2 linked regions of the Danio rerio genome follow. The protein of the gene in region 1 purifies or fractionates together with the protein of each later gene. This does not show direct contact. Links are inferred from orthologs where the notes say so. Each region holds a gene or a part of one and is shown in the gene's direction. Other genes may lie near its edges.

Region 1 (3,669 bases):
GTAAATGGAACAAAAAACTGCTTTAAATAAGAAGTGAAACTAAAATAAACACATTTAAAAAGAAACAAATACCAATGATATTGTATGCGGAACTTAGGTTGAAGTAAACTTTGTATGTATAATATGCAACGATGAGTTCTATATGGACCTCTTAAAACAAACCTACATAGAGAGCTGAATATTTGTAAAAATATTCTATAAGCACTCCAGAAAACAGTGTGATTAAGCAACAAATTATTATTATTAATGAATAAGACGTTATTTTTTAATTACTTATATAATTTTTTTTTTCGAACCAAATAAAATTATTTGATATTTGATTTTTTTTGTGTACTTTTTTGTGCGTGCAGTACATTTCACAGCCACACCTTGTATTTTCACAATTTAATTTTCACAATTTATAGTTCTTTTTTTCCAAGTGCTCTTAGCTTACCAGAAGTCATCCTTTAAAGACACTTTCACAATAGTAATTTGTTTTACACAGGAACGGTTTCAGTAAAAGCTTTTGAATAAGCAGTGTAGCCCTTAGTTTGATCTAATCTTAAATGTGTCTCGAAGCTCGTGATCTCATAAAGTGTGAAGCTTTTATGTTAACCTCTCTAACCCCACTGTTCTTTCTACAGACTCTGCAAAGGTCTCTCATCATGTTAATGTGCCAGGCGGTCTGGTCGTGGATATGGCCCCTAGTGGAGGGCTGGGCGGAGCTTTAGGGGCGTCTGCATTAGCCAACCTGCCTCCTCCCTACCAGCCCGTTAGCATCAGACAGCTGGGATCATCCTCCAGTCTAGATGAGCCTCAGGACTACCTTTGGCTGCTCAACTGTGAGAGCAAAAAACCTGAGCCTAACAGGTAAATCCCAAGCTATGTCTCCATACACTTATTTTTGTGCACATTTTGGATTATTGCATTAACAAATGCTTGATTAAAATGCCAAGATGCATATAAACTTTGATGATGCGCATAAAAAAATAATACGATAAGCTATGAAAACAAATTCGATAAATAATACGATTAATACAATAAACGTTTAATTCAATAAAAAATGCACATAAACTACGATGGAAACACTTTTACAGAATACATTCATTTTAAAAAAGTGATGTGATTTTGTTTTAAGACTTCATGTGATGATGAGAATGCATGTGATGGGATGCATTAATGGACAACTGAGCATGCTGACAACATTGTAAAACATCTGACATGTTGTTTTGGTCATTCTAGTATGCTGTAACTATTTCAGTATTATTGTTATAGTATTAGTTGCCTCCAGAACTGTCAAGATCGTCGTGTTGGCATTGTCCTCTCAAGCACAAGCGATTTATTCTGTACCTCAGCAAATTCCGTTGTTCTTTTTGATATTTGGCACCAGTTTATCAGGACGTGACTATTTTGTTCTCTTTGACTCATGGGATGGAAGTGCTTCTTTAATCTCAACTCTTTTTATGTAATATTCTAATCTTGCGCATAGTTTTATTTTGCATCTTTGGATGGAAACATAGCTACAGATGTGTATACAGACATCCTTTGGCATAACGGTTCACTTTTCGCAGCCTCGCAGTTTCACCATTTTTTTGTGCAATTCGACATGCTATTTTTCTACATTGTATTGTGTTCTGCGCCCTGATAGTGTTCTGTGCCCTGATTGGCTGTAGAAAGTTTTCAATCAATTTCCTTAATGCTGTGTTTTCTGTACAGTACAGAATGCGTTCAGCTTGCCAAATTTACATACATCTTCGATCGCTAGCAATGTTACTCTAAAGTGCTTTACTGTAAAAGGCAGAGGAAGATGCTAACCATTCCACAAAAAGTAGAACTTCTGGACATGCTAAAGGAAGGTAGAAGTTACACTGCTGTAGGGTGTCATTAGAGAAAATAAATAAATGATCAATCAAATATTTGGTTACATTTTATAACACTGGACTTATTTTTCTACGAAGGTTTGAACTTTGTGAGTGTTTAAACAAGAGCTAAAAGTGTGAAAAGGTTAATGCCTGTCTGAGAAAAGTGTATGAAGTATGTTATGAGAAGTTTTACAGCCTTAAAACATCTATAATAATTGTAAAAATAAAGCAGACTATTTCAAGGATTTTGCCTATTGTGGGTTATTTTTAGAACATAACTCCCTCGAATAAAGAGGGACCCATTTATTGGCTATTTTAAAAGATGGCTCATCCATCAACATCTCACGAGCAAATGTAACTTTTGTGCATATTGTTAAAAAAAATGGTCAACTCGAAAAAGTTCATGCAATTTCGTTCTTATGAATATATATGATTTTTAACAGGAGGCATGGGCACAAAAACCCACCACTACCCCTCTCTGGGAGATGGGAAAATCGTACTAAAATATATGAATGAGATTAAGGCTGCACGATATCGGAAAAAATTGACATTGCGATATTTGTTTTCCCTGCGATATATATTGCGATATTTTAAAAATTCAGAATCGGGAGTTTTGAACTGCTCAAAAATTAAATAATCATTAATTCTATAATAATTTGGGTAATTTTTTAAGCATTTTCATAGAATATAAAAATTAATAAGTAAAAACACTTTCTTTTGGGTTGTTTATAAAAAATATGACTTAACTGTCAATTCAGATAAATCAAGGATCTAATATGTTATGATATTAATACTAAATGTTGCTTTTACTGTGATAAAGGTAAGCTCATTTGGTGAATGTAAAGATGACACTTTATTATCACATTTAGGAATTAACACGAGTGACAAAATAAGTTATTTAACTTTTTAACAATTACAAACTTTTTTATTACAACAATTAAAAAACAGAAGGAAATATCTCGTCACAAAATTGTAAAAATATAAAAACAGCTAAACAATAACCCCCTGAGTGGTTTAAAAAAAAATAAACATGTTATAAAACAATTGTGGATAAGATAAACTTGTTTTAATAATTACCAACAATTAACTTTACAATAAATAAAATAATATGGCAGTTATATATATATATTATTGTTATTATTATTTTTTTTGCTTTGCATCGCTCCTCCTGCAATGTGACTATTGCGGATGCGCACATCGCGATTTTGATGCTGAAGCGATGTATCGTGCAGCCCTAAATGAGATCATACAAATTAGCCACTAAATTAGTTGCCATTGGAATGCATTGTTTTATCCAACAGTTTGTTATATAGGATTGTTCCCTTTTTGAGTCTGTTGTATTTATATCAGTGTATATCAGTATCAGCGTTATGTAATGTAAAAAACCGCCCACCTCTACTGAAAGCTTTGAGTACGTTCAGGTATGATGAGTAAAGATCTGGAAATAAGGGGCTCATTGTGTGTATTTGTGTGTGGTGTAGTCTAGTTGCTCCTCTTTGTCTAGGGGAGGAGGAGCAGGAATACCTGCTTTTGGAGGAGTGTGAGAGCCGGAGCGCTGCTCATGACAGTCAGTGAGTGAAGAGCATCAGTGTGAAAATTCAGTACTAAACCGCACACACATTTGGCCAATAGTCTGACACTGTTGTTTTTACCTGAATGTGTGCATACCTTTTTTCAGTAACTTCCTAAAATAAATACTTTACTTAGTTTTTGTTTTGCATTGTGTATCTAAAACTGTGAATGCACAGTTTTAATTGGGATTTGTGTGAATTGTGACATGCATGGTTGGGTTTGACACTAACCTGGTTGTAACACTTTATAACGATTA
Region 2 (2,510 bases), on another chromosome or scaffold:
AACAAAGCTAAAATGCTGGGGAAAAACATAAAATAATATTAAACAAATTTGAATTTAATTCATATTTAAACAATTTTATTTATATTGAAAAAAATACCTAAATTTAAATACAAAACATATATATTGAAGTCAGAGGTGCCCAAACATTTTCTTATAAATGGCCAAAAATCAAACTTGATTTAGGATTGTGGGTCGATGGTAAATCTACCAAACCTGTATTTCATTAAAGTTGCCATGGGTAATTTCCTAATTTATTTCATAATAATTAAAAATAAATAGCGAAAATTTGAATTTACCCATATTAGCTAATGCATTTTATCTTTTTACCTCGTATAATTAATTTATTACAATATAAACAAATGATTCATATTAACACTATAGAGTCAAATGCTGTATACACTAGTCAAGTGACAATATTTGCATAAAAAACAAAAATTTAATTAATTTACAACATTTTAGGTTAGCTTTTTTTGAAGCTTAACAATAAAACCAACAAAAATATTATTCTGTCTATATAATCTATATCATTAAATGCCTGACCACACTTCGTTATTATTGTTCATTTATTTGTTTGCTGGAAATTAGAACTGAATTTAGAAATAGTTTTAATACAAATCTTTGCGCTTAATAAACAAAATTAAATATGTAATGGATGCCTTCAACAGAGTGCGTACAACACCGTTTTCTTATCCACAAAAGTAAAGGAGTAAAGAAAAGAGAAAGTAAAGAAGCCGAATGGAGGAGGCTCATTCTTTATCCTCGCGCTGTGGATGGTTTGCCTAACTGTTTTCTCTCTAGTGAAGCTTTCAGTTTTTCCACTAACAAAGTCCACCATGTAAATTGCAAATGCACCATGGCGTGACGCAACTGACTCTTAAAGGGAATGGGAGACAAGTCTCTGATTGGTTTAATGCACGTTATGCTCAAAACACACCCATTACTCATTAAGAGAATGAGCACAACCCTGTAAGACTATGCGCTGCTGCGCAAACTGTATTTTTCCATCCTTAAAATAGCAAAAGTGGATTCAGACAAACCCTTAATGCTTTTGCACCCTGCGCTTTAGACTTTGCACTTAGATTGTTAAAATAGAGCCCTTGTTGTGCTTGTGAACTATTACCTAAAATAATCCTGTAATTTTAAATCGTCTCGTCTTTGCCATGAAAATGAAACAATTAATGGCATTTTGGAATCATTTAACAAAATGTACTTGTATGTCAATGTTATCATCAATTTGCATTGTTCTACTAAGTTTCCCCACAAGGTGTCACTATTAAACATCAGCAACAAAACAAACATTATTTTCTTTTGACTCTATTTTTTTGCCTTTCTTTATAGCTATAATGTCATGATTGAGTGCTGGCACCCCAAACCCGAGCGTCGACCAACTTTCTCAGAACTAGTGTCTCGCATCTCCGCCATCTTCTCAAGCTTCAGCGGAGAGCACTACATCCTCCTGAACACCACCTACGTCAACATCGACAAAATGACACCCTACCCCTCTCTCATATCATCTCAGAGCAACCTCGACCGCGACTGCTGCACCTGAGACACCAAAAAAAAAAAAAAAAAAGAGACCATGAAAGACTCTGGACAGGCTTTCATCATTGAGGCAGGGGGGAGGAAAAGAGTGGCCCAAGGACACTGTGAAAGACTTAAAAGGCCCGAACACTCCCTTCATCATCGCTGTAAATAGATTATGATGATCCGTGACCTGTGGAGGAGCTTGAGATGGTCCTGTTCTCCTGGGACGGAGAGCCAAAGACTAACGGCCTCCTATTCGATGTGAGCGTCTGATCCAATTTTGCTCTAAGCGTGTTCTCTGGCGATAACTGAAAGTGCGATTTTATTTTCTGTGAAAAGTGTCGTAAATTGTTGTGCATGCCTTCGTACCATGAACTGAACGCTGCATAATGAGGAGATCAGGAGAACACCGGACACATATTTTTGTTGTTGTTTTTTATCCAGGCCGATATGAATGAAATGGTTTTGTTTACTGTGTTCAGATAAATCTTATCTGTTCGACATTTGGATCTTACTGCCGTAGTAGTTCTATATTTTTATATATATAATCTGTTTAAGTTTAGTGTCAAAGCAAACATTAAAGGCCTGCATGGAATATGCACAGGTTTTTTTTTTACACTGATTGGGTCATGAAATCTGTAAAATGAATTTGAGGTATGGTTTAAGTAAAGTAAAATGTAAAATGTTTGTTAATTTTTTTTTCTGTAATGGTCTGATAATATTTCTTCCAAATTTCAAGTTCAAATATGGTCATTTAGGGCATTTTTTGTCTCGGAAAAGGATGTTAGGTCACAATTCCAAATGTTTTCATTTAGCGATTGAACATCAGGGTCATCCCTTCAAATAGTACTTCGTTGAATGAAAATTTTTGAATTGGGTAAGCTAAATTGTCCTTATGTATGTTTAATAATGAATAATAAAAGAACTAATAAGATTAATAAAGGAAAAGCAAATCAATGAATGACTGAAAAGATCAAGATGTCCTC

The links. The genes of interacting proteins can lie anywhere in the genome.
Region 2: the proteins of gab1 (region 1) and met purify together in Homo sapiens (affinity purification with western blotting; 3 studies listed by BioGRID and IntAct, with this or other methods). This does not show direct contact. The link is inferred for Danio rerio from reciprocal best matches to the Homo sapiens genes GAB1 and MET.

Annotation. Positions count from the first base shown.
Region 1 is NC_133176.1:38,713,853-38,717,521, forward strand, and holds part of gab1 (GRB2-associated-binding protein 1), read left to right. Parts: intron 1-623; coding exon 624-849; intron 850-3,322; coding exon of another isoform or gene 3,323-3,412; intron 3,413-3,669. UniProt on the Homo sapiens protein: Adapter protein that plays a role in intracellular signaling cascades triggered by activated receptor-type kinases. Plays a role in FGFR1 signaling. Probably involved in signaling by the epidermal growth factor receptor (EGFR) and the insulin receptor (INSR).
Region 2 is NC_133200.1:19,674,567-19,677,076, forward strand, and holds part of met (hepatocyte growth factor receptor), read left to right. Parts: intron 1-1,338; coding exon 1,339-1,549; 3' UTR 1,550-2,510. UniProt on the Homo sapiens protein: Receptor tyrosine kinase that transduces signals from the extracellular matrix into the cytoplasm by binding to hepatocyte growth factor/HGF ligand. Regulates many physiological processes including proliferation, scattering, morphogenesis and survival.